Arabidopsis thaliana: one gene and its partner. The protein of the gene in region 1 interacts with the protein of each later gene in a pairwise test. Each region holds a gene or a part of one and is shown on either strand. Other genes may lie near its edges.

What was found.
Region 2: the proteins of AT1G24440 (region 1) and ARF3 interact in a protein complementation assay, tested with the Arabidopsis thaliana proteins (one large-scale study listed by BioGRID).

What each region holds. Positions count from the first base shown.
Region 1 is NC_003070.9:8,657,250-8,669,119, reverse strand, and holds AT1G24440 (RING/U-box superfamily protein), read right to left. Parts: upstream 7,283-11,870; 5' UTR 6,781-7,282; coding exon 6,701-6,780; exon of another isoform or gene 6,438-6,700; intron 6,224-6,437; coding exon 6,067-6,223; intron 5,942-6,066; coding exon 5,875-5,941; intron 5,795-5,874; coding exon 5,343-5,794; 3' UTR 5,113-5,342; downstream 1-5,112. Other genes in the region: TNO1 (TGN-related, localized SYP41 interacting protein), read right to left, coding at 1-2,621, 2,725-2,856, 2,947-3,048; NFD2 (Ribonuclease III family protein), read right to left, coding at 4,043-4,451, 4,656-4,744, 4,842-4,919; AT1G24430 (HXXXD-type acyl-transferase family protein), read left to right, coding at 9,623-10,930; AT1G24420 (HXXXD-type acyl-transferase family protein), read right to left, coding at 11,123-11,870.
Region 2 is NC_003071.7:10,556,809-10,569,138, reverse strand, and holds ARF3 (ADP-ribosylation factor 3), read right to left. Parts: upstream 6,452-12,330; 5' UTR 6,318-6,451; coding exon 6,215-6,317; intron 6,097-6,214; coding exon 6,058-6,096; intron 5,965-6,057; coding exon 5,902-5,964; intron 5,326-5,901; coding exon 5,307-5,325; intron 5,169-5,306; coding exon 5,057-5,168; intron 4,682-5,056; coding exon 4,634-4,681; intron 4,458-4,633; coding exon 4,327-4,457; intron 4,212-4,326; coding exon 4,178-4,211; 3' UTR 3,843-4,177; downstream 1-3,842. Other genes in the region: COL3 (CONSTANS-like 3), read right to left, coding at 1,193-1,498, 1,602-2,180; AT2G24780 (uncharacterized protein), read left to right, coding at 3,300-3,458; GDU4 (glutamine dumper 4), read right to left, coding at 9,190-9,660. UniProt on the Arabidopsis thaliana protein: GTP-binding protein involved in protein trafficking; may modulate vesicle budding and uncoating within the Golgi apparatus.

The DNA of each region.
Region 1 (11,870 bases):
TCAGATATATTTCTTTCAGCCTGCATGAGTGCAGCTTCAAGTGTGCTTTTGGTTGCAAGAACTTCATCCAGTTCGCTAGCTACAGAGGAGGCATCTGCAACTGCTTTTTGCAGCTCAAGCTCAGCATTTTCCTTGGCAGCTTGGACATTTCTATTCTCCTCAGTAAGCCGACTGATGTTATCCTCTGCAGTAGACAAGGCATCCTCAACCAACTTCAGGGCTGTTTGGGTTTCTGCTAATTTACTGGTTAACGCATCAACTTCTGACTTTACTTTTTCTATTTCTTCTTGTTCCTCTACTCTAGCCAGCTGCACTTCTTGGATGTACCCAGCAAGTCGGTCAATCTTTTCTGAAGGATCTTCAGATGCTAGATCAACAGGGAGAGCTATAATTTCAACTGATTTCATCACTTTCTGCAACAACGTGTCAATTAGAGATAAGGATTGCTGAAGTTGATCTCTTTCTTCTTTAGTAGCAACAAGCTCAGTCTCTAGCTCTTTCGTGCGCTCTAAGTCTCTCGATAACATATCTATCTGATTCTTGTAGCCATCAACCGTACCACCTAGCTGCTGCAACTCGAGCATCAGCTTTTCGATTTCAGATTTTTTCTCATCCAACTGAGTTTTAAACTTTTCCCTATCTTGGACTAGTCCCTTGCCTTTCTTGATAGCCATAGAAAGTTTGTCTCTGAGCAAAGCAGATTTCTCCTCTGATCGCTCTAGATCTTTCTCCAAAGCAATTTTTTCTTCTTTCACGAAAGCAAGTTCTTGAGATGCGATCTTTAGCTCATCTGAGAGATTGCTTACCTGAAAGCTAATCAGCTCTCCCTCTCCTAGCATTTCCTTACAAAGTGAAAACTCCAGATCTCTCACATAAAGGAGACTTTGAAAGGCTTCAAATATTTCTTCGTTGCCATAAGAACTATCACTAGAATCCCTGATTTGCTTTTCTATCTTGTCGAATGATCTATCAACAAGTAAATTGATATCTGAAGAAGTATGATCTTCGACTCCTTCTGTCATCAAGCCAGAGGTTTCCACAAGTCTCCTCACAATTTCCTCCCTCTCCAACGAACCTCGCTCTGCAGTTTCCTCCATTTTTTTCAAACTGAAACTTAAATCATCCAGTTCCTTTCTAATGTTACTTTTCTCCTCCATTTCTGCTGAAAGAGACATGCTTACACTTTCAATCCGGTTTTGCAAGGCATTAACTTCATCTTTTCCCTGGAGAAAAGATTCTCTAAGCCAAGCTAGGCGACTTTCTAAGCTGGATTGGGACATCTCCTCTGGTAAGTCAATGGAAACGATCAAATCTTTTAGTCTGTTGTATTCCTGGGAAACATTTGTGAGCTCTTTCCTCTCTTCTGCAAGTGACCTTACTTTTTCAACGATATCAAAAGAGTGACCTTCTTCAGGTGTATATATGTTTGACAGGATAGTTTCAATATTTTCAATGATAGAGTTCCTCACCGATAACATTTCCTGATATGATGCAACCATAGCATCGGATTTTGCTAACTCGCCTTTGTCGAGTTCAGATTGATCCAATGCTGTTGACATCTCTTGTAGTTTCGTCAAACACTCTTCAAGTTCTTTTGTTTTTTCAGCCAGAGACTGTTCCAACTCCTTCTTTGTTAGCTCATATGCTTCCAGGGATACGGACCTATCATTCAATTCAGCATAGCATTTCTCAAGTTCATCCGTCTTTTCGGTTAACGATTGTTCCAGCTGCCCCTTCATTACTTCAGAACTTTCAAGGGCAATCTCCTTCTCTTGTAATTCAGTCAACCTATTCGCAAGCTCTGTTGTTTTTTCAGACAATTGATGCTTCAGAGCATCCCGGTTCTGAACTAACGCCTTCCCCTTTGTTACGGCCATGCTGAGCTTTTCTTTTGTGTTAGTACACTTAGTCTTTTCTAGCTCAAGCTCTGCCTTCAATTTTTCAAATTCTGTTCTCATTGACTCACACATTTCTTTCTCTCTGTTCACTTGTTCAACAAAGTTCCTATTCTCATCTTCTAGATGACTAAGTCTTTCAAAAAAGGCTGCTTCCTTCTGTTTGAGCTCAAATAGCTCAGAACAAGCAGCACCAAGAGCTGAACCAAAATCCTCTTGGAAACTAAGATCCAACACATCACTAGCCAAACACTTCCTTAACTGATCAGCACCATAGTAAAACTCAGTATACTTTGCACCTAAAAACGAAACTCGGTTCTCCAGATGAGCAAGCTTTTCAGAGATAGAAGAACCATACTGCAACTCCCCTTCCCCAAATACATTACTAAGAGAAACCATAATCCTATCCGTTGCAGCCTCAAGGTGCTCCAAGTTCTGTGCCTGATCACCCATTTCGGAAACCGGCTGCGACGAAGAAAGCTCAGAGATTTTTGTGGTGAGATCAGCAATCTCATCGTCCCTCCCACTAATAACCCCGTGAAGCTCCTTGAGTGCAACCTCATGCTGAATCCGCTCTTCCTTGGCAGTTTTTAAGAACTTCGAGAAGCGACTGACAATATCCACAGTAGTGTTCCCATCTTCACCTGTCAAATCATTCTCACCAGTCAACAGCTTAAACTGCTCCTGAAGCCCTGCAAGTTCCTTCTCCCAATCCCCCTTCTCAATCTATATGCAGAAAACAAAAAAAGAAAAGATCTTTCAATAAATTTTCGAGGAAACTCAACAAAAAATTTAGACTTTAAAAAGAATCATAAAAAAAATAACAGACATTGAAATGAGTTCCAAGGTCATCATTATCATCGTCATCTGTGGTAAGAGCTTCCTTGCTAGGTGTATCAAAATTCAACTCTTCAGGAGCATCAACAAACATATCTTCCTTACTATCAACGAAAGCTGTTCCCTGCAAAATACCAATATATCCCCCCAATTTCAGCATACGAAACACAAACCACATAAACGATTCAGAGCCATGGTGAAATAGAAATCTCACCTGGTCAGGATCAAGCTCTTCTTCTTCTTGCCCATTAGACTCGTCATCATTCTCAATTCCATCAGCTATAGAATCCTGCGGAAGATCATCCTTCTCGTGCATTATCTAAATACGATCCCAACCCTTTTTTCCCCCAATAGATCTATCACGAATTCGGAAACCGAAGAAGGATTAAAGAGAGAGAGAGATTAGCCAATATCGGTAATCAAAGACGGGACCTCTAGAGAGAGTCGAGAAATGGAGCAAACAAAGGAAGTGTGTGAAACGGCTCAAGTCAGAGAGATCCGTGAGTAATAAATTAGCGAGGTAAGAAGAAGAAGAAGAAAGCGTTGCAGCACGACCGACGCGGTGCGTTTTGTTTTCTCCCAAAATCGTTTATTTTTTTTGGACATATGTTTTGGTTGTGTCGTGCCATTGAAGTGGGTGATGTGTTTCGTCCAATAAGAAACGTTTGCTTCTGTTCACGTGACTTTTATATGGTAATATGTGCAATTTAAGGATCACTTAATTTTAGTCAAACGTATATATTGCAAATGTAAGACAAAAATTAGAATATAATTACAGATTCTCTCATAAAATCTTCTTAACAAAATATCGCATTAAATACATATGTAATCCTATATTCACAAAATATATCAATTAAATTCAACATAATAACAAGTAAATGATGATGGGATCCCTATTTCCTATGACTTGCTTACTGCAACACATGTAACAGTTCGAATTACTAATGTGTCGCTATTGCATCATTTGCACATTCTGATTACATAACATCTTTCACAACTGTTGGATCCACAAGTCTGCATGCACATCTCTCACATTTTGGACCACTTTCACATTTTCTATGGAGATACCACCATAATTCTTTGCAATTGACTGATTTGTTGTCATTTTAACGTTTTCAGTCATTAAGTCACTGCAGGTACTGCAACAAAAATAGATAGTTTTGGAGTCAACACTATAGTATGATCACTTACACCCTCATAACAGCAGCTAATAGTTAACATCAACCATAAAATTCTAAGCATTGGAGAAGAGTCTCTTAGAACTTGGCATCCGAAAAAACATGACTTTAATGACTTAATAAAGCTCTAATTTACAACATAGAGACTAGTCTTCCAGCTCGAGCTCCATGTACCTTCCAGAAAACCTTGATGGCTTCATCAACCGTTCCAGCATCAATAGCTATAGCTCCAAAGATTGCCCTAAAGCCAGTACAAAGAATGGCCGAGTTCGATGCATCTGTCTTAGTAGAAACTCTGATTATCTTCCCCAAACCCAACCGGTCTCCGTCAAGAGCACATGAGGACTCCACATTTGAAACCTCTGATATCAAACGGCCCAGTGCTTTCGAGGAAATATCGATATCTTTAGCGAGAAACTGAAGAGAGACCGCGGTTTCAATGATATGGGTTCCAAAGATACTCAAGGCTTTGTTGTTCTCTTGAGAAAAAGAAGCATGAGTCATTGCACGGCGAAGAAGGTTGATGTTGTTAAACTTGTAGCTACACCAAACAAAAAAAAAGGAAAGGTCACAACTTTAAGAGTATAGAATTTAACCAAATCAGTGATTCAACTTAATCATCACATCAAGAGAGTATCTAATCTTATAGAAATGGCCTTAATTTCCCTAATTATGATCCTCCAATACACATTTAGGAACAAATTAGTAAAATCAACAGAGAAGAAGTGACTTTAAGTTACTGTACCCAATTTGAGTTTGCAGCTTTGCAAGATCCGTCGCGAACGGCGAGGAAAATGGTTCGATCCTGAGATTGATTTCACTTGTTGCACGTACCTACCAAAGACGCCACGAAGAAATAAGAAACGGATCGTGTTCGGATCACAAAATATAAAAAGTTTGGGTTTTTAGAGAAGAGATGAGATGGAGATACATGAGAAACGGAGGAGAAGGAGAAGAAGATCCCGACGACGAAGACAAGAAGAAGTAGAGTGAAACGAAGAGTCGCCATAGTTGAACCTTAGTGTTCTTCACTTGATTTCACCACTCTCTGTTCTGCGAGAGAGAGAGAGAAACTTGAGGATTTATAAATTGAAACAGTTAGCACAATTGCACAATCAATTGGTTTGGTTCGGTTCGATTCGGTTTGCATTGGTTTATCCGGATTGAACATCTCTAGGAATTGATTTTACTTATAACAGTTTTTAAATCTCATCTTCAAACATGCTTATGTTGGCAAGAAGACATGAAGATCATCTTTCTCATTTGATCTTTGATAATAAAAGGGGTACACATTAAGATTATGACAATCTTCATAAATCATAATCTAAAACGAAGGAACATTAATGGATCACCAGATTCTTATGTACACTTAATCAAAGGTCTGGGATCACTCTCTCCCTCTGTACACCCGTATTTATGTTTCGGGATAAAATCATATCAAGTACTCGTTGTAGACTAAGAAGGCCGCTTCTGGATAATCCTTAGGAAGGCTATTGATGTGGAGGTAGAACCGAAGAAGATCCTCTTTGGTGACCGTCTCTGGATCCACCACATCTTCATCGCAAGTTAGCACCCACAGATCCTCTGAGTTCACTCTCTTGATGCTGCCACGACAAAACGGGCATGACTCCGACTTTGTGTTCCAGTTACGGTAACATTTGATGCACATGGCATGACAACAGTTTGGCAACACCATTTTGGTGCAAGGCTCTAAGCAAATCCCGCATTCGTCTTCTCTTTCCAAGTCAATGCTATTCATGTATCTGCTACCTTCAATGTCATACTGCTTCTTGGTGATGGCTTTTGGATTCGGATACCACAAGCTTTCGTCCGGTAAGTCAGCAAAGTTGATATGAAGTCGCTCAAGTGATGGTAATATAACACCTGCATTTAGCCAGAGCCATAGTTATAAGATTAAGCCCACAGTAGAAGAAACACAATCACAATTAAGAGCTTAGTCTTACCGTAAAACTCCCTAATCGTAGCTTTCCTTCCGTACCTAGATCGATTCCACCGCCCATCAGCACGTACCTGTACAAGACAAAGAAGACACCTATAAAACAAACAAGCCAAGAGGAAAGGAGAGAAACTATCAGGGAATCTACCATTTCACACACACACACACACAACTCGATATCTATGTATGCGGTAACAACCTTGTATATGAGTATGTGGAAGAAATCAAAATATCTTGGAAGCAGACATGAGAAATCCATCCATTGTAGCAGGAATATGAAGAATGGAGCCAAATTGCTGCACACCAATTTCATCTGAAGTCGCACACCGCTCTTTCCCATTGGAATCTCAGCAGCCCTGAATCAAATTTGAGAGTAATCAGTCATTACACTAATCCTTCTAACATAACCCATCCCTTCAGACAACATATGCCTGAAGAACAAACCACACAGATACCAATTCTGAGACTAAGCAGTTACTATATCCTTCGAATCACATAAACCATTTCCACAGACAACATATGCATCAATACCACACCACAGATATACAAATTGTGAGACTATTCAGTTACCATCCTTCTAATCACATTTAACCCATTTCTTCAGACAACATATGCATCAAGACCACACCACGCATGCCACAAAATTTAGCAATTTTTTGACCATTTCTGCAAAGTTTCGATTTTTAATAATCTAAGTTCGTGATAACGACCGAAAATGTAAAATTGTGGGGCCCTAAACCCTAAATCATCGAAGCCAACTATAACAATCGATACTAAAGACCCTAAACCCAGTAAAAATCAAAGAACCCAGAAAGAATCAGAGGATGACTCACAGTCCATTGGCGTGCTCAATATCAGCCTCCAGAATCTTCAAAGAGTCTCTGTAAGAAGACTTGGTCAACTGATAATACATCCTCCTTAACTTAAATCCCTAATCTCGTCTCTCTTCTCTCGATGAAGAGATGATGATGATAACAAAAGGATCAAGACAAGAGAAGACGAACAGGAAGAGAAGAGAATCCAAAGTTTGTGTCTTGGAAACAGACAAATCCTTAGAACCCGATGAATCAAAAACAAACAACAGAGACGTCTGCTTTTCTCCACGTCTTATCTCTTCGGTTTCACAAAATTAAAGATTTTGGAAGAAGAAAAAAGAAGCGACTTTTCGCTATTGATGATATTTTTGCAGCCAGAGAAAGAGACTTCGTGAAAGCCAAGAAAAAAATTTATATATATTTTTTTTCAAAAATACAGAGAGAAGAATCTTATCTCTTTTTTTTTTTTTGTTCTTGCAAACTTTTTTAATTTTGGTGTTCTGTTTCAAAGATCATAATGATGAGAAATTGGATGATGATGATGAGTGTTGTTGTTATAATGTTTGTAGAGAGAAATAGCTTTTGTCCTTATCTATAAAACATTATATGCTTTCTGTTGGCAGGTCTCCGTTACCAAATTGGTTTCTTTAATCAACTTCTTTCATAAAGTATTTTTTTTGTTCAAGTCTTCAATATCTGTGACCTGTCAGAGCCAACATTATTTCCTTATTATATTATGCTAATTATGAACACAATTAGGGAATAGGGAAGAAGATTCTCTCTTCATTATCGATTCTATACTAAATTAGTAGTGCATATTTTATCCTTTTCATATTTCAGTATCATTTTAGACTAATGTACTTTTGTTTTGAAAATATCACTTTCATGATTGCAATGTTAATTTTACAAAAATCTAGTTTGTCCATAATCAAAATTAATAAAAATGTATAAAAAAATTAATAAAAAATAAATAAATAAAAAAATAAACTCAAAAGTATTGACATTTCATCTTGAAAATTTGAACAAATTAAATGCATAATCTATCAAATGTTGCAAATAAACGGTGTTAAATTTTAGACGGAAACTAAAACACAGTCGTTTCGTTGATTAATTAAACGATTGTATTTTTTTTTTTTTAATGTATAAAAAGAAAAAAACGTTTATTATTGACTACGATGATAATGTTAAATTCATGGTGTTATAAAGGTTGCTAAGATTGTTGATTCATGGTATTACACTGAGATTGTTGAGTTCGATTATATTTATAGATAAGTCCTTTTGTATTTAGAGTTTCTAACATCTATAGTATTAGTCTATTAGATAAGTCCTATTAACATGTCATGAGCTGCAGTAAAATACCTCATCCAAAGTCCACGGGCTATTTTCACGAGTCACAATAGTCAACGTAATAAGAATTGATTAAGAAGATTAATTAAATAGTAATTGTACTTTAAACATTTCAGAAGTTTGTACGTTTTCTATTGAGTATAGTGGATAAACCCTAATTAATTAATATCCTGGAATAATCAAATCCAGATGTAATGTTTTGAACGTGACGTTGATCGTGTTGAGAGCTGAGATACATAACTCAACAAAACCCTACGTTTTCGTTAAACTATTACTTTTGTTTTGAATCATTGCTGTTCGCGTGGACAACAAACTAAACTCGCTCTCCAGCAACAATATTTCTCAGCCTTCAAATTCCATAACGAATATTATAATTTTATTGGCAACTAGCTATATAGAAAATGATGAATTCAACACCATGGTGTGTCCTCCAACATAATTTATGACGTATGAAGCTAGCATGAAGAAATAACGTTTACTCTATTGCTACAATGATTTCTAACTATATATAGATTTAGAAATTGTAGATCGAGCCTTCTTTGTTTAATATTTAATCCAAAAGCATGTTTTTTCCCCCCGGAGGATTTTTTCTTTTGTGAAAAATGTTGAATAGTATAAATAAAAATAAAAATATTAATTGTCTTATGAATATGTTAATGCCACTAATTAAAAATTGGTTTCTAGGGAATATATACTATAGTATTATTCTGGTTAGTTGCTATTGGTCGTAATGATCATATTAATTCATAGTAGATGAACAGCCCATATTTATTAAGTTGAAGAATGGGAATTTGGAATAATTCGTACCCTAATTTTCAATTCAAAAATATCATTTATTGATTTAAAGTTCTACCTAATGGTTCCATTGACTATATCGACCACAAACATATATATACAAAATAAAATTTGTTATGAATGGCAATACAAAAGTATAATTTCGTATAATTAAAACGAGCCTATCGGAATATATAATTTAGCTAAAATGAATAGTCAAACGTTTTTGGTAAGGACTAGTCTAAAGGACTAAAGGAGATGTTGAGGACCATCGACCACCAACCCCAACTAGTTAATGATGATGATGATATATACTTTGAAAATGTTATCACTATATAATTGTTGACGAACCGAATCCCTGTTTTTAATTTTTGTTTGTTTGTACTTATTCCTAAACTCATTTTGTATAGAAGAGTTTCTTGCGGAAAAAGGCATCCTGTGAAGCTTGAGTTTCTTGAGGGAAAAGGTATCCTGTGAAGCTGCTTAACTCACTTGCGGCAAATTAACTTGTTCAAGTCTAAATAGAAGATATAGTTTTCCACCTAACGTTAGTATAAAACTGGGTTAAACCAAAACCCCATATCAAGTTTCATAATGTTGACAAAATAATCCAGCTGAAGTCTCCAAAACCAAATCTTTGTATAAAATTTGTAACTTTCTTGTTCACTTGGGTCTAATTCTGATCCGTGTCTAATCACCATGACACGTTATTAAAGAGGACTATACCTCCTTATAACTTTAGCTTATATAATCTTACTGACGAAGCATGAGTCTGCTCAGTTCTCATACATCATTATTATAAGTTATTTCAAAACAAGAATGGGGCTTGAGATCACGGTAACTTCTCAGGAACTCGTCAAGCCCTCTCCTCGAAACCTTAATCATCCTCCATGCCATCATCATCTCTCTTTCCTTGATCAGCTTGCTCCTCCCATTTTCATGCCTTTCCTTTTCTTTTACCATAACAAGACTAATCTATCAGACAAAGAACGAAGTGATCACATCAAGAGTTCTTTGTCTGAAATATTGAATCTCTATTACCCCTTGGCAGGACGCATCAAGAACTCGGGTGATGTTGTTGTGTGCAACGATGTGGGTGTGTCTTTCGTCGAAGCCAAAGCCGATTGCAACATGTCACAGATTCTAGAAAACCCAAATCCTAACGAACTTAACAAGCTTCATCCATTCGAATTCCATGAAGTGAGTGACGTGCCTCTCACGGTACAGCTCACTTTCTTTGAATGTGGCGGCTTAGCACTCGGAATAGGCCTTTCTCATAAACTCTGTGATGCACTGTCTGGTCTCATCTTCGTCAACAGTTGGGCAGCTTTTGCTCGTGGCCAGACTGATGAAATCATTACTCCTTCTTTTGATCTCGCCAAGATGTTTCCTCCGTGCGACATAGAAAACTTAAACATGGCTACAGGTATCACGAAGGAGAACATAGTAACCAGACGCTTCGTGTTCTTGAGATCTTCTGTTGAGTCTTTAAGAGAAAGATTCAGCGGAAACAAGAAGATCCGCGCGACACGTGTTGAGGTCTTATCGGTATTCATATGGAGCCGTTTCATGGCTTCAACAAACCATGATGATAAAACCGGAAAGATCTATACACTGATTCATCCAGTGAACTTGCGTAGACAAGCAGATCCAGATATACCAGACAACATGTTCGGGAACATCATGAGGTTCTCTGTTACTGTCCCTATGATGATAATCAATGAAAATGATGAAGAAAAGGCTTCTCTTGTGGATCAGATGAGAGAGGAGATTAGAAAGATAGACGCAGTTTACGTGAAGAAACTTCAAGAAGATAACAGAGGACACCTAGAGTTTCTAAACAAACAAGCTTCAGGTTTTGTCAATGGAGAGATTGTATCGTTTAGCTTCACGAGCCTCTGCAAATTTCCGGTGTATGAAGCAGATTTCGGATGGGGGAAACCTTTGTGGGTTGCCTCTGCAAGAATGAGCTACAAAAATCTTGTAGCTTTCATTGATACTAAGGAAGGTGATGGAATTGAAGCTTGGATCAACCTTGACCAGAACGATATGTCTAGATTCGAAGCCGATGAGGAGTTGCTTCGCTATGTCTCTTCAAACCCAAGTGTGATGGTCTCTGTATCTTGAGAAACAAGTAATCTATTAGTCGTTTCTAATGAGTTTGAGCTTGTTTTCCTTTTAAGTTTGTCTTTCAGATTTCATTCCCTTGTACTTAATGCATTCTTTTATACTATTTTGTTCATATTTAAGAAGCAACACAAGTTTAAATTAACTCATATAAATCTCTTGGAAGAAGTATGCAATGAGTTTTGTTCTTGTCTAGATTAAAACAGGGGGATTTAGGGAAGCTGATTCAAGAAGCTCTTGATCACATTCAAACAGTGACATTTGTTCTTCCGTAAGAGTGATCCAAGCTTCAATTCCTTCTCCATCTTTGGTATCAATCAATAACATCAAGTTCTTGAAATGGGAAGTGCCTCTTCCGGTCACCCAAACCGGCTTTCCCCATCCGAAATCAGCATCGTACAAGCCGAGCTTACACCAGCTATTACTCATCCACAAATCCATCTCATTTCCTCTTCCATATACTTTCCCAATCTCTTCCAAAAGCTCAAAAATTCTAGACGAAGATTTCGACATCTCCTTGCAGTTCAAGCTGAATATTTCCTTTGCCCTCCTTATCTCATCAACCACATCTTGAATTCTTTCAATCGCAGCTTCTTCGTTCTTGAGAATCATGAGGGAAAGCATATTCCCAATTGTGTTTTCACACAAAGAATCTACCTTTCCTCTTAGGTTCACTAGTATCTGCAGCACTGAAGTTCTTGGTGTTAGAGAACTCAATCTTGAAACCTTAGTAACGCATCTCCAAAACAGAGCTGTGACGGCTTCAACACGTGTTGGATTCTTCACAAGGTTTCTTGAAGCTTTGGCTCTAAGTTTCTTGATCTTCGAAGCATCAAACACAAACCTCTTTGTCACACAACTCATCTCTTCAACCTCTTCTTTGCGATCCATCGGTTTTGAAGGAAGCTCATCAAGTGGTTTAGGAAAGACTTCAGAAGCG
Region 2 (12,330 bases), on another chromosome or scaffold:
ACTGTCCTAACTTGTGCCAGCCCTTGCAACATCGTGGACACCCTCCTTTATGATCCAAAAGCATTTAACTCAACCCAAGTTCAACTTATATTAACTTGAGTTAGCTTTAAACTTGCTTATCAAGTTCATATCTTCACAGTTTTGATTTGCGGTTTCTGACTTCATTCAAAATTTTATTATGATGATGTTATGTTCCTTTGTTTGCTAAGAGTCTGAGAATCGATTCATTATGAAAACTAGAGTATGCATATGCCAACACTTTTCGAATCATTTGATATGACAATCATTGAAGACGTATGGTCAGTTTTACGCAAACCAATTGATATGAAGTGATATTTCGACACTTTATGAGTAATGACGACGAAAAATGATTAGATTATCTAATACTTGAAAGGGTTCTCCTTCAAGGTTATACCATTTACTAAAAGAGAATTAGTGGTTTGTTATTTTAGAATATGTAGATTTCTTCTTCTTTTGTGTTGCTTTCGTTTGATTAAGTTTTTTCTCATGTTTGAATTTTCATTAATAACTAAATATCTTAATGTTTGGTTTCTTTGCACAATTTTTCTCTTCTAAGGAAACTTGAGAGCAATTACGAGCACATTCTACTTTGATTCCTTGGAATAAGGTTGTTTGGTTCAAGAATGCAGTGCCAAGGTATTCTTTCATCACTTAGCTTGCATTGAAAGGTAGATTGCTTAAGAAAGACAGGCTCATAAGTTGGGGACTGAATATCTCTGCAGCTTGTGTGCTTTGCTCTAACGGTATCGAAACCCACAACCACCTCTTCTTTAAATGCTCTTTCTCTTCAACCGCGTGACAAGTTTTTGCTTCTCGAATCTGGCCTCGTTCACCATCAACGTTGGCCTCCATCGCCTCTTGAATTTTGCAGTCTCGGACACCACCACAGCTGATTGTATGAGTTTGTGTTCTATATGAATGTTAATCTTAATAGCTCAACTCATTTATTTTTGCATATCGATTTCTTACAGAGATTGTAAATCAAAATTTATTAGTTCAACATTAAGTAAACTATATAATTTAGGATACAATTGTGAGAATTAATTCAAAAAACAACAATCTTCTAACAATAACTTAGCCCCTGATTAAATCAGGAAACATTTTAGTTTTAATTATCCTTAATCTGCTATTAACCGATATACTACTACCATGTTTCTTTCACCGGAAAATATCAGAAACTCGGAACAACACCGAATCCGCCATAAACTCCGACGTCTCCACCATCATTCTCTCTCGAATCTGTTCTCTTAGCAAAACGTCCTTTGATTCTCGGCCTCATCTCAGCGTAAGCTTTACGCGACGCATACCTAATCGTCTTCTCAAATTTCCGATTCTTCCTCTTCTCTCTATACCTCAAAACCCTTGCTTCCCTCTCCGCCGGTGATAACTGCACAGCTGGCGTCTCCGTGTTCGTCATCTCCGCCGTCACTCCTCCACTTTCAGGCACCAACGGTACATCTATCGTTCTCGTCGAAACCTAACAACATTTCACAAACTCAAATCAGATCCAAACTTTCAGATCTAGATCTGAAAATTTTCCAGATCCATGGAAGCTTAAGAAGATAGAGAGAGATTCGTACAGTTTGGTTGATGAAATTGAATCCTTGTTGAGAAATTTTGGAAGCAGAGAGATCGAAATTGAAGTAATCTTCGTTAAGAAACAACTTATTCTGCACAGGAACAACTCCGTCGTTACCGGAGCTATTCTCCTCCGACGTTACCTCAATCTTCGGATAATCAAGATCGGAGAACAAATTAGTGATTTCGATTCCTTCTTTAGCTAAAAGCCACGAAGCAGTGACGTCACCGCCATCTTCATCTACGAAATTGACGGAGGAGGAAGCGGATTTTGCTGGACCTACAGCGTCGTAGAAAGGAGTGATTGGTACGCGCTCGTGGCGGCGAGAGAGTGGATTAGCTGAGTGGATATCACGGTCGCACGTGACGCATAACGCAGCGGCGTCAGCTTTGCACGTGACGTGTGCTGGTGCTTGTTCGCATACTTCACATAGCCAAACTCGTTCGTGACGTGATGCGAGTTTGTTAGCTGTGTGGATCTTACCGTCGCAGTCGCCGCAGAGAAACGCGGCGTCTGCGCGGCAGAATAGAGTTGCTGCCGTCGATTTGCACGAATCGCAAAGTCTTGACGACGACGCCATTGATGCTCTCTATATCTCTCTCTACTGTTTTTTTTGTAGAGAGAGGGATAATAATGGAGTCGGCTTTTTTTTTGTATTGACTCTTGGTGTTATGGAAGTGGCGATTGTACCGGACGCGCAGGGAGTGAAGTGGGTCATGGAGATCTGGGAATAGCGAATAGAGAGATGACACGTTAGTGAATCTTAGCCGAATAGTTGGAGTTTACGAGACATTTAGGAGAAGTGGGGCTAATCATGTGAAGGTGTATTAACTTGGGTTCATGTTCTCACGGACTTTCACAAAAGGAATGGAAAGTTCCTTCTTTTTGTCGGCAAGGAAATTCGAATTTACCCATGGTTACTTAATAGTTAATAATTACCGTAGATGCTATGTAGGCCTGGGACTAAAATCCGTTATCCGCGGGTATTCGAATCCGGATCCGTGATCCGATCCGGAAAACCGAATAATTAGGTGCGACGGATCCGGATACGAGTCCGGCGGATCTGGATACGAGTCCGGCGGATCTGGATACGAGTCCGGCGGATCCGGATACGGATCCAGATTATGAAAAAAATCAGAGCCGAATATCCGCATCCGTTCAATATGTCTACATATTTGTATTATGGGCTTAAGTTATATTTGTATCCTGGGCTTAATCAAATACACATTATCAATGTTAAGCCCAATAGTCCAATATTAGCCCACTACGACAAAATGATGGAATTTGAGTTTGTTTGGGACTTAACTATTAGGGTTTCATAACATATTTTTTCTGCCGCCGTGAATGTTTCCTTCATCACCATTTCCTTCACTATCTCCATCTCATCTCCATGTAATCTTCATCACCGTCTCCCCACCATATTCATCTCGGTTCCACCGTCGTAAATTTATGGACGGAAGTTTACTTACGGGAATGATGATACATGGGATTCAAAGTGTCGATGGCGGAGATGAATGAGGAGGAGCAGATTGGACACCGTTAAAGACGAGATCTTGGTGGTATGTGCCTTGCAAAGTCTGATGTCGGGCACACGTCGATCTCTTTTGGTGGTGAATTCAATCTGGTTGGTGAAATAGGAAATTGAATTTGTTCCCAAAAATAAACGGATCTCGAATATCCGCGGATATCCGGTTTTTTCATGGATATTCGAAATCCGGATATCCGAGGTTTACGGATCCGGATGCGGATCCTAAAACTACATATCCGCCGGATACGGATACGGATCCAGATACTCCAAAAAACCCGGATATCCGGATCCGTAGCAGGCCTAATGCTATGTACAGCCTTTTGTTTATGACTAGAAATCGTAATTTTTATTGAGTTACGATAATAAAACAAATTTGTTTAAGTTAATTTGCTCAACACCCGCCATATAAAAGATTCTATGGTAAGATCAAGAAAGAGAGCCACCGTCAAGTTACATTCTCTAAACGCCGAGCCGGACTCTTTAAGAAAGAGCTTCACAAATCGCTTGTGTTTTGTTTTGGTAGCATACTAGCATTATTAGCAGGAAAGTTAATCAAATAGCTTAGGCTAGTATCTTGCTAGTTCTATATATTCCTTGCAAATTATTTTTGCCTCTTTGAAAACATTAAAAAAAAATCTTACTATCTACTAAATGGCATAATAGTGTCAACAATTTTATCATTAATTAAGGAGCAGACAAATTACATAAATTAGGACTTCTAAAACCCCAAACGTTTGAGCTTCTGAATCCAAGTCGGCAAAAACACCACTTGGAACCAATTCAGTGTTTCGTCTGGAATCAGTTCAATATTTCATGTTAAAAAGTGATGATATTACCCCTTATGGGTCTCAATCAAAAATCTGTGTTGGGTTTTTTCTTTCAGAATGAAACAAAACAACAAAAAGAGAATATTAAGTGAACATGTCATTGATATTAACTCTTTAAGATGAAGAACTAAGATAAAAAAAAGATACTAAACAAACCAATAAGTAAAAATGATCAAAGTTACACTCTTGAGAAATGTGACAGATTGGTGTATGACGATGATTTTAGCCACTTCCCGACTTCAATGTATTACTCAACCTGAAGATCAAGATGGAAATGAGAGAAGAATATTTGAGAAGAAATGCATAAAGAAATGGGTTCAGTGTTTCAATAATGGGACCAAGAAAATGGTTCGGTTTCAGAATGTGCTTACCAGTCCAATCCCTCGAAAAGTCCCTCGCCTTTCACAGCACAAGTTTTGAAGATTGCCCATTGACGACTCTTTATCTTATGCAACTCCAAGGCTTCTGTAACAGCCGCATCATCGAGTGCACCGGGAAGATCCTAAATTAAGTCGATTTAATGAAACTCAGACCAAATAGTTATAGATTTTTCATCAGCAAAAAAGTGTCTTGTGCATGCAAAACAAACTAAAGCTTTTTAGCAACAGAAACCAATACAGATTTCCAGATGAATCAGCCCAAACTAATCGGAAGAGCAAACATTTAGAGACTACTAACCTGCTTGTTTGCAAATATCAGAACCACCGCACCTTTCAATTCATCTTCCTATAAAACATAGTTGAAAAGATAGTGCGAGTTAAATGCTGACAGTGGCAGAGGTAAACTCAAGTAAGCATTGTTGCTGAGAGTTTAAGATTAGCTAGCAAGATCTACAGAGAGAAATGATCACTTGTTCTTTCCGTCCAGTACTAACCGAGATACTTCAATTTCAGTATCACCTATTAGAAGGCTAACAATACTTGATATACAACTTACAAGCATCTATAACAAGTCCTAAACAAGAAACTGAACCAATATTGTATTTCCATTCAACTACCGATATACATCATCATCGTTTTACCTCAATTACTTTTGGATGCAAGAAGTCCATCACAAAATAATACAACAGTATAAGAAGAGGAAGCCTCAGCAGTACTTTACCTCTAAAATTGCATGAAACTCCTCTTTCGCCACCCCGATTCTATCTGTATCACTCGAGTCAACAACATAGATCACTGCTTGTGTATTCGGGAAATAGCATCGCCAGTATGGCCTGTCAAAAATACCATTAGAAAATTGGGCAAAACAAAAACAGTATAATCTTGATGGAGCATTTCTGTTCTTCATTCCTTCACAGTAGATGCAATATGTTCATCATATCTAGAAATGAGAAACGAGGTCATTAAGCTACCTGATGCTTGTTTGTCCACCTGTCATAGGAAAGTTCTTGTTAATGTACTGTGTCGCTGAACCAATTTTGTAAAATGCAAAAGCATTCGCATATAACTAACAAGACAGATGTACATACAACACGTGCAAAACAATAATAATAATAAAAACTATAGGAAGAAGATGTGATAATACAGAACTCTTTATCACCCAAATTTGAATACAAAGAACTTCATCTATCTCATCAAGACCAGTTGGAAAAGGTAATAACTTGGAACAAGAAAGTCGAATATAACGACACATACGACAACAACTTATCTAAGGACTCCAAATCAAGGAAAATTCTGATCATGAATTCGTTAATTCATACAAAAGACAAACATTCCAATTATACAAAAGTGACACTGAAGATCTACTACCATGGAGCTAGTCAACTTAGAAAGAAGAACGCAGAGAATCTCTAACTGAATCCATCAGAAAATGGTTTGATTTGGATTAATCTAATGCTTATATAGTGTTGTAGATTTCGAATATCCCTTCCATATAATACCAAAAATCATTTCTACTACTTCAAATTCAAAGTTTAATGCGTTCGAACACATTCTTCGAAAACATACCTAAATCCCAGACCTGAAACTTGATATTGTTGTACTGCACAGTCTCAACGTTAAATCCAATAGCTGCAAAGATCAGATCAAAACCAAAATTCGTAAAATCACGATACATAAACTAGATCCATAATCTATACAATAATCGAGAGATTAGATACATACTCGGAATCGTAGAGACAACTTCCCCCATCTGAAGCCGATCTGGAATCACAGAGAATCAAAAACATCAACGCAACTCAAAAAACGATCGAATCAAAAACCCTAGCTACTAAATATCAAATCTATTACACAATGCGAAAGATTGAGGCAGTGAATTTACAGAGGATTGTGGTTTTTCCAGCATTGTCGAGACCGAGGACGAGGATTCGAGCTTCTTTGTTACCAAAGACGGAAGAGAACATCCGCGTGAATAAGATTCCCATCTTCTTCTTCGATTGGATCAGATCAAACGATCTAAGAGAGATTGTTCTTCTTCTCTTGGATCATTCGACCACCTCTCAGATCTTTTCTTCTTCTTTGAGAGTTAGTGCGAAGAAGAACGTTCATTTCCAGTGTCTCTGATTCGTCCAGAGGCTTTTTTTGGGCCTAAATATTATCAGCTCGGCCCATTGTTACTTTGGTTGACTAATTGGACTATAGTCCACTGGTTGTACTTTTCTCTATTTTTGTTTTGAATTTCTAATTTCATTTCATTGCATTATCAAAATGTTAACAAAGTTTGTGAACAAGAGGTAAGTTTATGCATCAGGGAAGAAAGTGATATAGAGACAGACTTCCACTTCTGTTGTACTTGTTTCCTTGATCGCAATTACTTAACTAAATCTCTTACCTAATTGGGATGCTCTTATTGTTGTTTAAATTTACCTTCAATTTTATGAGAATTCCTTGTTAATTAGTACCCGTGCATTGTTAGTTTATCGAATTATTTGAGCTTTTTTGTCAACACCTTCTTTATACTACATGCTGAGTCTAATTAGAGTATATTCTTACATATGTGAAATAGAGGGTAAGCTCATTTTTTGGGTCGCATGTAGCTGTCCCTGTGTCTCTTCACCGAAAAGGGTAAATGTCTTTTTAGTGTGCGTTGTTTACAATAACATTTGATCGCAAATGTTTTCTTTTTGGGTTAAAAACTAAAATAATTTTTTTTGTTATTCGAATATTTGGAAGTTCAAGCCCAAAGACCCTATATTTTCTAGAGACGGGATCCACACCGAATTAAATTCATCTCCTTTAAAAAAGAAAACTAAAATAATTTAACATGTATAAATTATATAAACATAAAAGTCACTCCTAGCTTGACTAGGTCTGGATCATCCATGTGTGAGGTGAAAAAGTGGTCTTAAAGTACCACTAGACTAATGAAGTCAAAAAGAACAAACCCTAAAAATAAAAACATTGAAGTCCTAATGCTATATCAAAATTGATGTTAATAGGAATTATCAATTATGCTAGAGAAACTTACAACAACTAAAATCGCATATCCATATCAAGTGATGTTTTCACTCGGAAAAATTAACAAAATGTTCTTGTTTGATACAAGTAATTTTGTTTTCGCCATCCTTTATTTTTATTATTATTTTATTTGTACCTTTTGCTTATGCGGCACAAAGTTTGAGACAGTTGGGGAAATGAATGCAATGAAAGAAGAAGTATTGCTTTGGAACTTTCTTGCGGGAGACGCGGCTACTCGGCGCCTCTAAAGACAGCTCAGCAAATGACAAATAAGTCAAAACAGAATCATTGTCTTCGCTTTCATATTAAACTCTGTTTTTGACACGTGTCCCCTTTCTCTTATGCAGCTCTTTCGATTCAGAGAACAAACGTTTTCAATTAATTAGCTACTACTAATGGACAAATATTAGTTATATAATTTTTTCACCTTTGTTGAAATCAGTGGATTATCTAGCCTGTGGATTATAATTTCAGTGGACTAATTAGCGACGAAAATATAAATTTTAACAAACAAATATATTAAAACAGAAAAAAACATTTGTGGTGAATAAAATTAAAATTCTAAATGACATTCCATTTACGATAATTTAAAACGGAAAATAATATTTATATTACTACATATGTATGTGTGTAATTGAACTACGCAAATGAGTTTATTAGGATTTTTAATGATTTTTACAAAAAATTACTTAAGTGATCGTATATTAGTAGCTGGGAAAAAGACCCCAATATAAAAAAATAGAAATAAGTTGTAAAATGTTTTTGATTGAGGATTATACAAACCTTAAGTTTTAGACGTTTGTTTGGAGTGCACTTCACTTCAAAATACTTAATAACGTGAGAACAGAAGAAAATTTGGTCATGTAACAAGACTCTTGTTGATGGGATATTATCAAATTGAAAGTAAAGCAGGCAAATGGGGCAAGTAATCGAATTATCTTTTGATTTATACCATAATATGTGTTTCCAATTTTTGTTTAATGAAAAAAAGAATATGATTCCTTTTCTTGTGACAAGACTAACTCACGCACATATTTTCGAATATTACGAATGTAAGTTCATAGTTAATAGTAATACTATTTCCAGTTTATTCACTCGTTATATAACAAGTATAGTTAAACAAGTATAGTTAAAATTTGACGGTGAACTAGATGGAGTCTCAATTAATTTAAAATATCCAAGTTGATAGCAAATTCAGAACTATCCTATGGTAAATAAAATATATAAATGCAAGGAAAATATGAAAGTAACACAAATACATGGAGGAGACACAATTATAACAATTCATAATTAAAGTAACTAAACGAATCTCCTTACAAAATATAAAATGTGAGAATATATACGTAATACAAAAGGGTTAATGCATTACATTAGTTTCTGAAAATGTATATAAAATTACAGTTTGTGTACGGGATGAATCACGTTTCCATCGAAACATTGCAAGCTTTGAATTTATGATCAATAGTGTTATGATACTTTTTTTTTTTTTTTTGGGCAAACATAGTGTTATGATACTATGATTCATTTTTTTGTAGATCTTAGTGATGACATAAAATTGTAAGAATTTTAAGTACTATTATGTTATTCCGTTTTAGTTTACTCTATTACTGATTGGTATTAAAGCTGTATGAGAAAGGTTACCTATCACACTTTTGAGAATTACAAAAACTAAAAACGAGTTTTCCACCATTGGGGATAGGAAATTACAAGCAAACATTCATTAATCATAACCCAAAATTTTCTCTCAGTAAATTTTACATTTCCCGTGAAAACACGAAGGAAAATTCCCCAACAAAAAAAAAAAGACAAGACTGAGAGAAGAAAAGAAAACAAAAAAGCTCACTGACTCGTTGTTTCTTCATTTTCTTTGGCTTTCTCTCTGTCTCCCATTTTCTCCTCTCCAGCACCAATACCATCCTCCTTGAAAATTACCATTCTACCCTCGTGACCGCACATGCATTTGTTCGCCGCCGGCGTGGCCAGAAACCTCGGCAAGTCATCTCCGGCCATTATGACAAGAACCTTCTCCTCGCACGCCGCGCTAGCCGCCTTCACTCCAGACCGACTCTCTTTTTCCTCGTCGACTCTTTCGCCGGAGTCATCACCGGAGGTTGACAAGCGCCAGTAAGAGCAGGCTAGGATAAGTAAAGCGAAGGCTATGAGGCCTAACATCGCCGCAAGACCACCGAATAGGTACGGCACCGGTGAGTGCCACGGCGATATCGGCGGTCGGTGATTCCCAAATGATTCTACTGATGTGGCATGTCTAGCTACATCTAACGATGTTGGTTTAATGCTCAATGGCCTCATTTTTTTTATGTTTCTTCTGTTTCTCTCAGATTTTTTCTAACTATTTTGTTTTTTTTGTTTTTCTAACTTTATATAAAGGAAAAAGTGAAGAAAGCTGGAAAGATGAATGAAACAATGGGTGTGGTGAGGTGTTATATTTATAGGTAAGAAGTCCCTGGGGAAAAAGAAAGTGAGTCACTCCGAATATTTAATTATTTGAATTAAAGCAGCTTTTTTTTTCATTTGCCGTTTATTACTTTTTAGTTTTGCCGCATATATTTGCATGCAATATTATGTACTCAAACTTACTTTGTTATAGACACATATATATGTTAAGGTGCTTGTTTTTTTAAAGAAAGATAGCGAACATTAATTACACAAATTTAAACTAGACACGATAAATTAAATTTTAGTATCTTTAAGAAACTACACTAAAAAAAACTTGAAAAATGCCTACAAGAACTACCGCAGATTGGTTTAAAATTTTTGCTTAACGGTTGTTGAAAAATATATAAATGGTGATTTTTAAAATCAAAAAAAGGATATCAATCATAATATTTACCAATAAATTTGAAACCATATGAACTTTGACATCAATCAACTACACAAACTACAATAATTGGGTATTAGACTTATAAGTCTTATATCCAATAATATGTCAGTGATAGCATGATATCGAGAAAGTTTTTGGAAAGACAAGGGGTTTCCTCTTGATGACTCTAAGATACTTTAAGCCAAATAGATCAATTTAGATAGATGAATAGTTTGGTTTCTGGAAGTGACAGAGGAATGAGAGTGAGAGATGGATTCCAAGACCCCTTACTCTCAGTTCTAATTTATGGCACGATATCTATCTTCTTGTGAGGACACACTATGATGCCTAATGGGGATTTTATTTTTTTGGGATCCCGCAAATTGGGAATCCAACTTCTCTCTTTCTTTTTGGATGAAGAAATTTTCTATCTCTCAATTTTTCTATATCTAAAAGTATTATAAAGTCTATCACTTAATATTTGTCATGTTATAGGTTTTAAATGGTAACACATTCTCAAAGCGATATAACTTGTACTATTTTGAGAGTTATCATTCGCAAAAATTAACTTTATCAAAAACATTACAAAAAGTTTTACTCTTAACTTTACTGTACAGCTTTCTCGTATAATTCTTTTGTACAACTTTGCACTATTCCAAAAAAAGTTTTGGTTATAGCTAACAGCTAAAATTTTGTACAGTTTTGTGTTACCAATCGGACTTATATAAAATAAAATAATCTCGAGTAGTCCAAACACAATTTTCAACTTAACATATCACCAAACTTTGCTTGAATTCAATAATTCTCCTTTTTTTTTTGCAAAGTAAATTATTTAATGTTTTACAATAATAATGAATATTAAAATCTGCACCATAACACATGGCTTAAAAAAAATCATGACTTAATATCGGTAGAATATTGTTAGTCATTATTGTTTAGAAAAACATATTTAGGGCAATAAAGATTTGGAATTGTTAGTTATAAAAGACTAACAAATTCAAAAATTTATTACCCTAAATATATATTTTGAATTATTTTAATTATTACAAATAAATTGATTTGATATTAAAATATATATGTTTTTGATTAATTGTTATTAATTTAAGAAAGTTAATTTAGTAATTTTACATATTAAAAATATATTTTTAAAAGAAAAATAAAGAAAAAAAATTTCAAAAGTGCAAATAAAAGTCATATGTGGGATTTTTTTTTTTTTTTTTTTCCAATTGTTACTATCACACCAACTACCGTGCACCAGGTGCACTACCTCAATAATCCATAAAGCTGTCATCATATTAAAATGTAGTGATCAGGTGCAAATTTGTGCCCCAAATGTTATAAACTTTTTCTTTTCTTTTTGTTAAAAGAATTAAGTTTATATTTTTTCACAGGTTCCATTTTAAAGGACCATGTCTGTTTTTCAAACTAAATTCTTACAAATATATAAGAAAGCATATTTTGGAATCATCTATGTATTCACATTGCGAACTAAAGAAGAGAAAAACTTAATACTTATTTTCTGTTACCCTTGAAACATAGGCGTTTATACCATTAAAATGGCAGAAAAATTATATCGACTAATGAAATTAAACTAGTTAAATGAAGTCCAGTTAACTAATCGAAGTTACCGAACATAAAGGGTTCTTATTTTTGTCAAAAACATAAAGAGTTCAAACCTTCAAATTTATAGCGTAGTTTTCTCTCGGTCCATTTTTTAGTCAAGAAAACTTTTGATCCAACTACAAAAATTTACTTTTAAAGAAATTATTTATCGAAAACATTAACTCAGTAATAAACAAGTTTATCTTAAGTCTTTGTAAAAAATGCATACAGAATATCTATAGCGTAGTTTACTCTCAGTCTATCTCTAGTCAACAAAACTTTTGATCGATCAGTTCCAAATATTCACTTTTGAACGAATCATTTATCCAAAAACATTAACTCAGTAAATAAACTAGTTTAACTCAAGTCTTTCTAAAAAATGCTTTAAAATGCATATCAGTGTTCGAAGTAGTTTAATATATATGTTGACAAAAGATGAAGAGCAGTTTAATTTTATACAATATATATTTTTAAGAATTTTTACCTTTTCCCGCAAAATCTGTGATGATTATAGAGGCCCACAAAGATATTAGTGCGACATAAGGCACAGTGAAAGA